Linked DNA regions of Mytilus edulis. The protein of the gene in region 1 interacts with the protein of each later gene in a biochemical or structural test. Links are inferred from orthologs where the notes say so. Each region holds a gene or a part of one and is shown on either strand. Other genes may lie near its edges.

Region 1 (7,646 bases):
GTGTTATAATATTCATCCACATTATATTAACATGATTAATGATAAAGAAAAAATTCAGATGTAGGACAATTATTGTTGTCCATGAATCAGTTATGATTTGTCTCTCAAGATGTATATATATATTCTATTGATTTTAGCTCTTTAATAATATTTTTTTTGCAGCTTAAAAGTATTTATGAGTCAAGCCAATTGCATTATTCTGGGACATAGGCCAAGGACTCCCAAAAGTGGATTTCATAGTAGCCTTTAAGAAAATCTGAGAGCCATTCAGGTTTGCTTTTCAATATAAAGGCATTAACTTCAACATATACCCAAATAGTCTTATTTTTCTTGATTTCGAACATCAACATAAGTTGAAAATATCTCAACATTGAAATTAAGTTGTTACTTGTTTATCATAAACTTGCCATACAATTTTGGGTGAAATGACGAGGGCAAAATAATAGATTTCTATTATAGATTATAAACTGATCAATTACATGATTTGGAAGTGTGTCTACGTCTACTTCTACATCTTCATCATCACTGTCCTCTACGTTGACCTCTGACACGATACTGACATATGAATCATTGTCTTCTCCCTAAAATACAACAACAATTATTGATTAATAATTCCATTTTACATCCTCTGATTGGCTATAAGTATTTTGTCTAGGAAGAATATTTTACCATTTCAGCTATGCACATGTACATACTATGACATATAATGGCAAAACAAATTCCAATAAAATAAATGATATAAAACATTGTCTTAATCTTAAATAGTTTTAATTTAACAACCTCGGAATCTGGAAATAATTCTTCATCTGTCACTGCCTCCACGTCAATATCAATGTGCCGCTCGGGTGATTCTGTAACAACTATAATTTCATCATCCGAACCTTCCACATCAATGTCTGACATTATAAGTATAACCTTGAGATTAAAATTTCCATGATTTTATCTGAAACGTAAACAAATATAGAGTAGCAATAAAGATCTATAGAAGCTCACATTGATTTATTAAAACTATATACAACAATATTGCAATCGCTGTTATTTCACTGCCACACTACATGTAGTAAAGGTATCATTGCTGTTGAGTCCTGTTGTCTTTATCAATGTATCTATCAGCTTGTTTGATCACTAAGTCATGTCAGTCACAACTTTTGGGACTATCGTACTACAGATTCACCAGGCGTTGGTTCACTTTCGTTTGTAATTTAAAAATAAAAATGTACATGTGTATGTACAATTCCATGCTTGGCTTAGTACATATATGTCATGTATGTCATTTGTATGTAGAGTTTTAAAATTTTTTAAAAAGTAGCATTTTCTTTTTCCTGGTTAAGAGTCCAACTCTATTAAAGTGTTATTGCAATTGACTCTCAAATAGACAGTTGGCCAGATAGTTAGATTAGACAAATGTTTGAAGAAAACAAATATGTAGGGTGTAAACAGACTTTGGGTGTGAACATGCAGGGTGCAAAAGTGAAAGGGGACAAATGTGAATTGGCAGGAACAAGTTTATTTGGGAGAATGGACACGGATTCCTGGTTTTACACTGTCACAGGTCTCACTAATTTGCGACAAGAAGCGTCAAGAAGTGACAAGAAGCGACAAGAAGCATCAAGAAGAATAATTTTAGCGACAAGAAAACAGTTTTTTTTATCAAATATAAAAAAATATGCATTTAATCATTTTTAATTTAGGGGCAGAAATAAATTGATAATTCTATTGATAGATGAAGAAAGTAAAAATTTGCGAGGAAGGGATTGTGTAGTTTTTTATATTATATCTAACTGTACAATTAATTTTTCCTGATAGGACCAACGTTAGCTGTGGCTTCATCCTATTAAAGGTAATACACAAAGTAGAACATCAAATGAGATTAACGCAGCGCTTGTCCCTTGTTTTATTGCTACAATAACATCCAATTAACACCTTCAACTTTATACACTCGTCAGACTATACAATTACACGCGCCAGAATATACAATCATTGTAAATAGTGAACACCTGTTGAAAACTCAAGATTGTCATCAATTTCCTTTAATCTTCGATCAATATGCATTAACATGATAAATATCGTTAAATGAGGCAATACACTAAATAAAATAATAAAAACTATTCACATTTTAATTATGTTTTTCTCTTGTTTGATTTCAGTTCTTTGTACATTTTTTGTATTTCACAATTTGTGTATGTATTTTCTGGACAATGATGCACAAATAATGCATTTTGCAAGTTTATTTTATATTGTACAAATATAGTTTTAAAGACAAATTATAAGACAAATATATTATTGATCTAAAACACAAGTAAAAGTAATACCATAATACGACAGGGTAAACGTAATACTTGCTGTTATACCTAATAAAATATCATGTAAATAAATGTAGCAACTGAATTAGATCTAAGTTTCAGGCCCCCCTTTTGAGAAAAAAAATTGGTTGCTTATATAGGGAATAACTGAAGCGTGACGAGATCAGTCCCCCTCTTAGGCAGCAAATGGACCCCTACTTATGAAAATTTCTGGATCCGCCACTGACTGATCTACTAGTGCTCTTTTACTGGAGGATGGTAGTGGACATTTTGTCAGGAAACTCATGCACTTAGTTCATAGGCTGATCCAGTGGAGCAAATGGTTGACTATATAGGGAATCACTGAAGCAGGACTGACACAGGCCCAGCTCCTCACCATAGGTCAGTCAGAGGTCCTCCATTATAAAAAAAAAAGTTTTGTATCGGCCACAAATTTGTGTTATTTTTTTTAGCTAACCAAGTCAATTGCTGAGGACTTTGAAATCAATTAAACTGTACATGAAGACATTGTGCGTGTTTTTTTTTATAGGAGAATAAATGATATTTGTTGTTAGCAGAATTGCATAATCGGAATAATTTTCAGGAGAAAAAAAACTAAAAAAATGGCATGTTTTTCAGTGTATAATTTTTCCTCTCTCAAATATGACATGCTATCATTTGTATTACCTATGAATATACTGGAAAATCTATATAACTATATGCCCTTACATAAAGATGCATTTGCTAGATCCAAAATAAATCAAGAGTTCAAAAATAATCATTTCATTTCAGAAAATTTACCGCTAAACATCATATTTAAAGCAATGTAAATATCCAAGACAAGCCGAAATAAAATAATCTGGGTACTAGGGAAGCTTCGAATAATACTTCTTTTACATAAAGTGTTTAACTGATGCTGATTTATATTATCGGAACTTACTTTGGTTTATCCATCCTGACTAACTGGACAGTCAGATGACAGTTCAGAGGGAGAGTTTTGTACTACCTGATTTTTTGTTTAAAATCAAAGCAACATTCTCTTTTCTATAAAGGAGTAGACTGTTGCTCGATCTAGGTATAATTCACTAGTATAAGCACAAAATGCATGTCAACAGTAACACTGTTCCAAGTTCATGAAGTTGCAAACAAAATATTAGGATGTTATCATTGTACTCACACTCATGAGTGGCTTAATTAGCTTAGTAGTTTTTACATGTACGCCAAAACCATGGAGAGGGGTATGAGGGTCCCTAGCGGGTTCAGGTCAATTTACTGTGACAAATTCGCTGCCAGATAAAATATAAAATAGACATTTACATCTTCATTTCACACGAAAATAGAAATAGTGAATATAACTTCTGGGTTCCTCCAGTAAAGAGACAACAAAAAGACAGATTTTATTTTAATGGCATACAAATTAATACAATTAATCGATTTGACCTCAGATGACCATATAAGCGATGTAAACATAAATACAGATGTAAATAGATTAAACCAACATGTACAATTGGATTGTTATAGGTCTGTTTGATTTGATTTTATAGATTAAAAATAGATGTTTCTCGTTGTTTTTAACCGTATAAGAATGATTTAATGTGCATTGCATTAGTAATCAAATGATTAACCATAGTTTCACTTTCATTGTTGACATTCTTTTTCTTTAAAAAACCAGTACACGTACATATGCAATTGAAGTACGTGTTAAGCTTACAATTTGATCACATGGTGATGGAATTCACATGAGAGATTTAAGTAAATTGTAACTCCTGGAACTTGGCGTACTTGTTTTTACTGTGACAAAGTATATGTTAGGGAAAGCGTATGAAATTGAAATGTGTCTATCATAATGAAATCTTGAAAAGCTATTTTAATTTTAGTTTTGTAAAGTCTCTTCATGTCTTAAAATATGTAAAAAGGCATGAAAGAGGCCCGTTCTCCTTGTAAGATTTTGTTGTTGACAAAAATAGCTTTTTAAGACGTCACAATCATTTCAACTACATTTTTATGCCCCACCTACGATAGTAGAGGGGCATTATGTTTTCTGGTCTGTGCCTCCCTTCGTCTGTCCGTCTGTGCGTCCATCCGTCTGTCCTGCTTCAGGTTAAAGTTTTTGGTCAAGGTAGTTTTTGATGAAGTTGAAGTCCAATCAACTTGAAACTTAGTGTACATGTTCCCTTTGATAACATCATTCTAATTTTAATGCCAATTTAGAGAATTTATTCCAATTTCACGGTCCACTAAACATAGAAAATGATAGTGCAAGTGGGGCATCCGTGTACTGTGGACACATTCTTGTTCAACATGAAGGCATGTAGGTTTAGCTCTACATTATATTTGTATATATATATGTATGGAGAACACTCTTACATGTCTTAGGTTTGCATTTATAGCACTGGTTGAAATTTGATAAGAAATTTTTCTCCTCAGTTTATATCTTCCTGAATGATTCTACTTTTGAAATCGTAAGTGCCATATATCTAATTAAAATATTTTAAATTTTAACAGTTTGCTTGAATCTTTGCTGTCAATATTCTGGTTAGAAGTAGTCAAAGGGAGATAATTCAAACATTTATCTACTGTATATCTGAGTTAAGATGTCAGATGAGAGAAATTTCCGTACATACTACTACAAGAAGTTTGGAATAGGTGGAGTGGAAGAGAAGAAATCCATTGAAATACTCCTGAAGGAGCATCCATTGAACATTGACAAATTACGACAATTCTGTCTGATGTTCCAAGTGCCAGCAAAGTACAGAATATATTTATGGAAAGTTATTTTAGGTAATTTGTTAAATTAATATAATTTATCTCTGTTTGTTATGCAGTTTATCTATTTAGTTGTGAACAAAGAGCAATATAGTTTAGATGAGCCGCCCGTGAAATTGAAGAAAACCAGACAGAAATCCACAAAACTTGTCACATTTTTATAAGTAAGAAAAAATTGAGCAACTTTATGAGACCACCAATGAAAAAATGAAAAATACTCAGGCTCTCAGGGAGTCAAGAAGAAGGTACAAGATTGGGTGGGGTTCCTTTGCTTCAGCATTCATTATTTCTATTCTGTATAAATTTTGACCATTGTTTTCTACTCTTTTAAATGTTTAATTTTAGCTCCCCATTGATTTTCTATTCTTGACTTTTCCTACCTATTTTACAATAATCTTTTTTTTTATGGCCAACTTTTCTGTAGTTTTGGCTCATTATTCTCTATTCTGTAAACCCAATCCAGACACTCCAGAAGGGTAAGCAGTTTATACTCCACTAGTAGCTTCAAATATGCTACACATTTCAAGTAAAATCGAATGAAGTGTCATATATGTAGTGATGTGTTAAATTAAGATAAAGTACTTTTTAGAGTACAAAAAAATACTGTTGACAAAACAGGTTACATTTAAACATTTTATTTTTTAAGGTATTTTACCATGTGGTCAAGGATCTCATGATTTTGTGATGGACCAAAGAAAACAACAATATAACGATTTACTTCATGCCCTAAAATTGATGAGAAGGGTAGACAACTCTACCACAGCAGGATTACTGGTTCTAAAAATGTACAAATTAGAAACTGGTATGCTGACTTTTGAAGAACAAGAACTAGTAAGTTTATATTAGCCCTGCCTTAACAGCAAGTACTTATTTTATATCGGATGTCAATTTTCTGACTAACATAATTTTAAAAAAGAGCTGACTCTCTGTCTTTTAAGAAAAATGGTATTGTTGAAGTTTTGAATTTTCTGCATGTTCAATGTTCATAATTTCTACTAAAAAACTTATTTTCAAACTATTTTTTTGGCCATTATTCTTATCATTCCATAAACATGATAAAGAGAAAATTACATGAATAAATTTTTGCTATAATGGTCTTGCATATTTAACAAAGTAGAAGCTAGCGGGTTATGCTTTTAATTTTTATTGGTGTAGAACTGGTTTTCATGGATTTCATTAAAATAGATCTAGATAAACCACAAAAACAAACGTACATTGAAAAACACTTTTTTTTTTAAGGTTTGTTGAATATCTTTTTACACTGCCTTAAAATCCAATACTCATTAAGATATAACTTCTCCTTAATCCACGAAATTTTTATACACAAGAATAAATGAATCCAGAGTAAAGTTTCTGAAGCCTTAGTTAAAAGGGAACTATTTATGATAAATCAATTTAGTATTTAGTATGCAATTTAATAAGTATTGGCAATACTCATTTCTTAGAGCTTATATGACACAGCATCTTCAGTCATAGCTCATGGACTTTGAATAGTTTGCATCTAGGTAAAATGTTTAAATATTGCCTTTTTAATTTAAAAATTTCCTTCATACTATCAAAATTATGAAAAATCAAGACATAGTACTGCAAATTATAAATATGTGTAACATGTTTAAAATCTCTGTGCTAGGTGTGTGTGATAATGTGATAATTCATTTTTATATATTCAGGTGGACCCAGATGATATGGCTTTGTTTACTATCTCAGAAGCTTTAAGTAATATTGAGGAAGATGATATTAATGTTTACTGGATTGCTAAAAAGTTTTATGAATATTTTCTGAAATGGAAGGAACCAATTTTGAGTCTGGTTTGTAATTTTTGTAATTGCCTCTATTTAAAGCTGTTGATATAAGGGACATAACTGCAGTTTGTAGTGTAATTTTCTGTTCTTATTAGAGTGTTTATAGATGGAACTTTATTTTATAAAAGATTAATAGAGGTCTGTAATGAATTCTGAAGACTATGATGACAGCATTATATCCAGTGGCGGATCCAGAATTTCCCCCTCCAGTCATGCTTCAGTGATTCCCTTCATAAGCAACAAAATTTTCCCCCAAAAACTTGTTGTTCAGTGTGAGCCAAGGCTCTGTGTTGAAGGCCGTACATTGACCTATAATGGTTTACTTTTATAAATTGTTATTTGGATGGAGATTTGTCTCATTAGCACTCACACTACATCTTCCTATATCCTTATATATTATGAACATGATGAATGAAAGAACATAATCTGGTTTATTGAATTTAGTAAGAACACTGGGCAGACATTCAGGGGTTCTGGATTTCAGGCATCTTTATCTGTTTCTGTGTGCACCATATAAACTCAGAAAACCATACAACCAATGCCTTTAAACTTTTGGTATGCTACTGATGAAAATGAAAGTGAAGTTTTTTTTATATTGTTCTCATCATGCAGTTCTAGAGTCTAATCCAAATTGGAAAATACCTTTTATGTCAATTCCAATCGAACAAATTGAGATTACTTGATCTAATCTATTACAATCATTTGATGTTATTAATGTTTCTTGTTACAAAATGGAGGTCTGATTGATTGTGTTGAAATTGACTTTTGCTGTTCTGAGTAAGGCTCTGGATTGCAT
Region 2 (7,436 bases), on another chromosome or scaffold:
TACTTTCCTAATTACCACAAATAATTAAGTTCAGTCATTTGTTAAAAATAGAAACATGTCCAATATCACTACACAGAGATTTTTTCTTTACAGTGATCAGGAAAGTCGTGCGCCCTGCGCCTATAGCGCATATTGACAAGAAATGGTGCATACAGTGACAAATGTAAGCGCTCACGTGGCGCACGATATTTTTCACTTCGTTTCGAAACGCTTAGAAATCGTCAAATGGATTTCCGATCGTGTTCCGTGATGCAATGTGTGTGTACACAACAGTTACTGTGTAATGTTCCTCCAATTATAGGAGCACCTATATATTTTTGGGACGTCTCGGGTGTTTCCCTACGATAATAGAACCATGCGGTTTAACGTCTCGGGTGTTTTCCTATTGTAATAATAGAACCATGTGATCTAACTGATAACCCGAAAAACGTATTTAACCATCATTCATGATATATTTTTTTCATAAAAAACTTTAAATTTGTGAAATTTGGCTAGTACAGACGAGATTTAACTCTAATAATAATCTCATTAAATTTAGCTTTCTATTATTTCGATTGAAGAACCCCAAAGACTTTTTAGGAATATAGTCTTAACTGTCCTTGTCATTTTTTGGTCTTTGGCTCGTTTTGACATTTTTGTAAACATGACTTCAGCGATTTGTTGTTTTGTTCTATTAATTAATGGTAATCTATAATGTTATTCTTGTCACACCTTGAAGTTATAATAATACAAGAAGTGCAGAGGAAATGCTTGAAATGTCCTCTGATACGGAACGTCTGGAATAAGTATGGTATCGACCAAGACCCAAATTTAATGTACAAACAAAAAAAAACATGAACATGAACACGGCAACAGTACCAGTTTAAACATTGTAAATAAATTTAACGGTTAACTTAAATATTGTTCGGGTTGGAAGAAGTTATTGTATATTCATTGAAATTGAAATTACAAAATCACAGAACAATACCCATGATTTTATTTAAAATCATAAAGGTAAGTACAAACATCTCTTTGCCAAAATATACTGATACATTTTGTTTTTACAGAAGTCAATTCAAATGACCCACTCATTTGACAACATGGCCCATTATTTTTTAAAATGGCCCATTAAATTTATTTTTGAGGGGCCCTGGGCCCATAGGAAAAAAAACCTTCCAGATCACTGCTTTACACGTGACTTTGTTCCTCATTTCGAGGCACATTAGGGATGTTGTCCCATATACATGGATTATCATTGTCAGAACAATATATAAATCTCCATTTTAAGGACCTAAAAAGTTACAGTACATTAAAGATTAGTTTAGCCTACCTGTGAAATCTCTATTTCTCCTGAGAAGAATTTGTCTTCAGCTTGACTGGCATTGAATACTTCAGCAACAGTCACTGGTAACAGATTCTGTGCTCTGTATCCAGACTATAAAATTATAAGTGATTCTTTTAACTTGACACTTCTTTACACATGTTCATTATAGAAATAATTGCATAAGGCATAGGCTTTTTAATTTGTTCAGATTATAATTCTAAAGTGGTTATAAAAATCAAATCTTATCGAACAGAAATGTGCAGATGTTTTACTACATGCATGTATTTCAGCTTTATAATATATTTGCATTCATAACTGTCTATCTTGTTTAGAGGAGACTGCATCTATGACTGTGACTTACACTGCAAGTTTGAAACTAATGATTCGAAAAGTTTTAAACTAAAATCTTACAGAATGATTATATGAAAGTTTTGTATAGATTTTTTCTTCCTAAATTAATTTTTGAAGTAAATATGTAAAACTGGTAATATGCACTTTGTCTCAAGACCTCATAATTCCTTGTTGTGACTTTTCTGATACAGTTGAGTAGAGAATAACTTAAAATGTTAATTCATTTCTACCTTCTTATCTTGACCTGCTTTCGGCGTGCCAAATCCTGGGGACATGTATCCCCCTCCCCCTCCTTGTGACTGTTCACCATACCCCTGGAAACCTACAAAAAGTACCAAACATGTATAGTCAATCAGGACATATATCCTTCCCTCCTTGTGACTTTTAACCATACCCCTGGAAACATACAAAATATAACCAACCATGTTAGTCAATCAGGCATTTCGCTCAAAAACTGGTTTAAGTGAACATCAATCGTGCATATAGTGGTGTCGTCACTACTGTTCAAATGTTAAGCAAGTGGTTGGAAAACTATAGCTATAGCTATATTGCCCACATTATTCAGCAAATTGAATTCTCATAAAATTTTGTCTTTCAGCACAGCTGTCATAATGGAATTGTGATCAAGTACCTACCGATCAAATATTATTTTTAGTATATCCTGCACAATGACGATCACTAAGACACTTGATGAACGTTTATAGTATCTGGTAAATGAAATCACAAAGGCACGCATAACTGACAAGTTTTTTCTGGTGACGGACAAACTCGAAAGTGGTCTATTGGCCAGTTATTACAATGAACTATTATTAAAATCTACAGGCCCAGAGCTCAACAAACCTAAGAGTTTCCAGATATAACACGACATGACCAAGTAATAAAACATGATTCATTTTTTGTTCTGTAGCCGTAGGTAATTGTTATTGTAACTATTAACATCGGTTGACTTTTAACAGTGCAAAATGACATCATTGTCAACCGAAGTCTTTAAAGCAAAGCTATATATCCATTGCCTTTGTAGTAATGACTAGGCATATACATTGATTTGTATAGTATAGTGCAACACAAATCATCAGATCATTGACAAAGGGAATGGGATATATTTGACAACGTACATTTGACGGCTGTAAAAAGAGAACCTGATAATTTAGAACACTGCTGATCTTGAACTACATAATATACACTTATGTATCGCTTTGATGTCAAGCTGATTTGATCATAATAGTGCCTTACCTCCTTGATTATTCCACATTTTTAAGAGAAGAAATAGAATAGCTGAGATGGCGGGAAATCAAAACACAAAGTGTAATCGGATTATGTTTCAGGGGAGGATGCGTTAAATTTCCGCGTATTATACTTTCACCAGTGAAATAATTAATATTTATACCGTGATTCCCTCTTTTCAGGACTCGAATCGAGCATGCCGATGAGAGCGGACGTGAAAATTTGTGCAGAGACAATCCATCAACATCATTGAAATTGTTTTGTCAAATTGATTTCATGGATAAATATTATTATCCTTACATCGTATATTTTATGATTTGGATTATATTTTTTTGTTGAGAAAGGTTTCTGCAGATATTTTCAGGTTTGTTTGAGACATGTAGTCAGATGGGATCCATTAGTAATTTCCATGTGGGAAACTTCAGACCAATCTATTTGATGTCTGAGGGTTTTAGCTGTTCCCCTAATGGATCGGTAGTTTCTTTCCGAGATCCTTTATCATAGGATTTTCGGCTTTCCTCTACCAGGAATACAGCTGGGCATTTAGCGGTATCGGTTTGGATTCCAAGTATGTCCTCTCCGGTTTCCCGTTCGTTGTCTAGGCATTTGTGCGGCATCCGGGGTGACCTTATCCCTTATTATTGTTACATTGGAGACTAATTGCCGGAATGCAAAGTTGGGTGAGGAACCGATTAATTACAAATGTAACAATAATTACTGAGGCTACGGTTACATTACGTTATTGTTACATGAAAAACAGCAATGTACGCTAGTTTGATTAAACTTAAATCTTCTGTAGTTGTATTGCTTCATTCTTTCATATGTACTAAACAATACTTGTAATTTAATACTGATAAATAATAAAATATTATTATTCAACAAATGTTTTACTAGGTATTAATGGTTTTGATGTTCTTAAAAATACTACTCAAGATTAGGAGTGCAGTGGCGGATCCAGAACTTTTCCTAAGGGGGGGCCCGCTGACTGACCTAAGAGGGGGCCCGCTCCAGTCATGCTTCAATGATTCCCTATATAATCAACCAACTTTTTCCCACGAAAGGGGGGACCCGGGCCCCCAGGCCCCCCCTGGATCCGCCTATGGAGTGTGACTGTCAAAGGCGTAAAATATTGTTCAATGGTTTCACTTTTTTAAAGTATTTAACTGCACACCTACTCTTATTACTGTCATTATACTTTGGACCAATTTTGTTTATGGTGAAAAAAATAAAACTTGGGATGCGTTTTAAACGAAACTGAAACAATATCAAGACATACATTTCATACAGCTTTATAACTTGACGCAAATTGATAATCAAAAGCAAAGTTTGCTAACTGTAACTTAAATACTAACTTAAATTCTGTATGTACACGTATCCGTGAAGGACGTTATATCGTTCATCAAAAATGCGTCGGACTTTAAAACAACTTACTGGATTTGTAGAAATTGTTATTGTAAATAAAAAATTACAGTAAATAAATTGTATGTTATAAATGTATGTAATAAATGTCCTCAACTTTTTTTTTAGTACATATTACTAGTCTCATCGTACATTGCTTTTTTTTCATGTAACAATAACGCAATGTAACCGTAGCCTCAATAATTATTGTTACATTCGTAATTAAACAGGTCCTTACCCAACCATGCATTCCGGCATTTAGTCTCCAATGTAACAATAATATTTTTATTATTGTTACATTTCCATGTAACCGTAGCCAGTGCCTTTTTTATATTATGCATTTTTTATATTTTTGAGGATGAGCGAGTCAGGTGAGTGGGTGTGTTCGTATGCTTTATTACATTGTACTTATTGTTTTGGGGAAGGTTAACTTTCTGGTTGTAAGACCCGTCACGGCCAGGCTGGGAGACTGGATAGGCAAATGCTCACATTAAATCTGTACCGATACAGTGTGTTAAATGTCTTCCTTTTTACACCATAACCCATGGTGGTGCTCCTACTAAAGGAGGGAGATACGGAACATACATACATAATAATATTGTAATATGAACATTAATCTGTTAATCCTGCTGTTCACCTGCTGAGCAGGTTGTACTGCAACTCCCTCCTATGTCAGGACAACCACCAATCTTAGAATCTTGGTAAAATCAATCACCCGCTTAAAATTCTCTGAATCAAACTATAAAAGTGACAATAATTAGCTCCTTTGGGGGATGTGATCCTCAGTATCGCCATTATCAGACTATAATATTCAGGATACACATTAAACCAGCACAGTCATATTTCATATTTTTTCAAAGTTGTTTTTTTTTGGTCGTGAATCATTTTGGTCGTGAATCAAACTAAAATCATGTCAGTTTGGTGAGTGTATTGCTATAAAAATAAAAAAAGGCACTGGCTACGGTTACATGGAAATTAAACAATAATAAAATATTATTGTTACATTGGAGACTAATTGGCATGCCGGTATGCAAAGTTGGGTAAGGAACCGATTAATTACGAATGTAACAATAATTATTGAGGCTACGGTTACATTGTCTTATTGTTACATGAAAAACAGCAATGTACGCTAGATTTATTAAACTTAAATCTGCTATATAGTTTTGTTGCTTAATTCATTCATGTCTACTAAATAATACTTGTTATGATAATAAATAATAAATATTATTATTCAACAAATGGTGTTAAAATAGTTTTAGGTATTAATGGATTTGATGTACTTCAAATTAGTAGTGCCAAAGGCGAAAAATATAGTTCAATGGTTTGTTGTTGAAAACTCGGGCTGAGAAAATCATTATACTTTGAACAAAAGATGAAGAGATTCCTATTACCAATTTTGTTTGGGTGAAAAATTTAAAACTTGCATGGAATGCGTTTGAAACAAAACTTAAACAATATCAAGACACAAATTTCATACAGCTACACAAACGCACTTACCAAAAATTGATACATCAAAAGCAAAGTTTGCTAACTGTGAACTAACACTGTGAACTTCTGTATAAATGTATAAAATTGAGAATGGAAATGGGGAATGTGTCAAAGCGACAACAACCCGAACATAGAGCAGACACCAGCCGAAGGTCACCAATGGGTCTTCAATGTAGTGAGAAACTCCCGCACCCGTCGGAGGCGTCCTTCAGCTGGCCCTTAAACAAATATGTATACTAGTTCAGTGATAATGGACGTCATACTAAACTCCGAATTATACACAAGAAACTAACATTAAAAAAATCATACAAGACTTAACAAAGACCATGCAAAGGCTCATGACTTGAGAAAGGCGCAAAATTGCGGCGGGGTTAAACATGTTTATGAGATCTCAACCCTCCCCTATACCTCTAGCAAATGTAGAAAAACAAACGCACAACACTACGCATAGTAAAACTCAGTTTAAGAGATGTCCGAGTCCGATTTCAGAATCCATGCCGGAGGACGTACTATAAAAAAATCAAAAAATTGTATGTTATACTTGTATGTATTGTAAATATAAGATAATGTCTTCAACTTTTATTATTTAGTACATATTACTAGTCCCATCGAACATTGCTGTTTTTCATTTAACAATAATGCAATGTAACCGTAGCCTCAATAATTATTGTTACATTCGTAATTAATCGGTTCCTTATCCAACCATACATTCCGGCATTTAGTCCCCAATGTAACAATAATATTTTTATTATTGTTACATTTCCATGTATCCGTAGCCAGTGCCTAAAAAAAATCCTATTGATTCAAAATATAGTGACATTTGGCATATTTTTACTAGGGGTCACACAATAAAAGTGTTAAATGTGTCTGACTGACTTGTATATGATAAATTCAGAGACATAAACCTTATTTCTCAAGTCTGAGACTACTATAACACATGAGACTTAGGTAATTTACAATCAATAGATTTTAATAACAACTGTATGAAACTTTTCTCCCTAGTTTTGACCACAGGAAACAATGAGTTGGAAAAGTTTCTAGTTGAGGTTACTTGACATGCATCTTTAACTTTCTTTAGTACAAATACAAATATTTATTAGCACAAACTCATCAACAATAAATGGTTAAGGCTCATGGTATATTAATTACATAATTGATCATACTTATATAATAAATAAGAATTTATAGTGCATTTAATAGCTTTACTTTTCAAGGAGTCAAGTGGGACAATCAGAACTTTTCATGTGGGACAATCAGAACTCTAAAATTTTAAAAAGTGGGACAATCGGGAATAAACCTCAGGATTAGCATTTTCAAAATCAGGAACAACAATATGTATAGGTATGACTTCATTCTGTACACGACGTTTCAAGTTAAATTACAATACAATATATTTGTATGTTTTTCTACAGGCACGTGTCAGATATTCCATTTTTGAAAAAAAACAAGAAGAAAAGCTGTTTTTTTATACTCAGGGTTTCTCGATACCTGATTCTTTGTAGCTGGTAATCATTACCTCAACCCAACTGTTAATTGGTGTTGTTGTTGTTTTTTTTTTTTGGGGGGGGGGGGGGGGGGGGGAGTCAAACTAATGAAAATGTTCTTAGGGGGGTTATTATGTGTTCTGAATATTTTAGGGGGGTCTCTACCAACCGACCCCCTCAGCTGATAA

What was found.
Region 2: the proteins of E3 ubiquitin-protein ligase rfwd3.S-like (region 1) and replication protein A 32 kDa subunit-A-like form a complex in vitro, tested with the Homo sapiens proteins (3 studies listed by BioGRID, with this or other methods). The link is inferred for Mytilus edulis from reciprocal best matches to the Homo sapiens genes RFWD3 and RPA2.

What each region holds. Positions count from the first base shown.
Region 1 is NC_092350.1:74,942,485-74,950,130, forward strand, and holds the start of E3 ubiquitin-protein ligase rfwd3.S-like, read right to left. Parts: upstream 3,107-7,646; 5' UTR 3,084-3,106; intron 944-3,083; 5' UTR 904-943; coding exon 781-903; intron 582-780; coding exon 480-581; intron 1-479. Other genes in the region: TBC1 domain family member 7-like, read left to right, coding at 4,877-5,063, 5,695-5,879, 6,719-6,856. UniProt on the Homo sapiens protein: E3 ubiquitin-protein ligase required for the repair of DNA interstrand cross-links (ICL) in response to DNA damage. Plays a key role in RPA-mediated DNA damage signaling and repair.
Region 2 is NC_092344.1:9,233,842-9,241,277, reverse strand, and holds the start of replication protein A 32 kDa subunit-A-like, read right to left. Parts: upstream 3,006-7,436; 5' UTR 2,907-3,005; coding exon 2,888-2,906; intron 1,977-2,887; coding exon 1,885-1,976; intron 1,415-1,884; coding exon 1,310-1,414; intron 1-1,309. UniProt on the Homo sapiens protein: As part of the heterotrimeric replication protein A complex (RPA/RP-A), binds and stabilizes single-stranded DNA intermediates that form during DNA replication or upon DNA stress.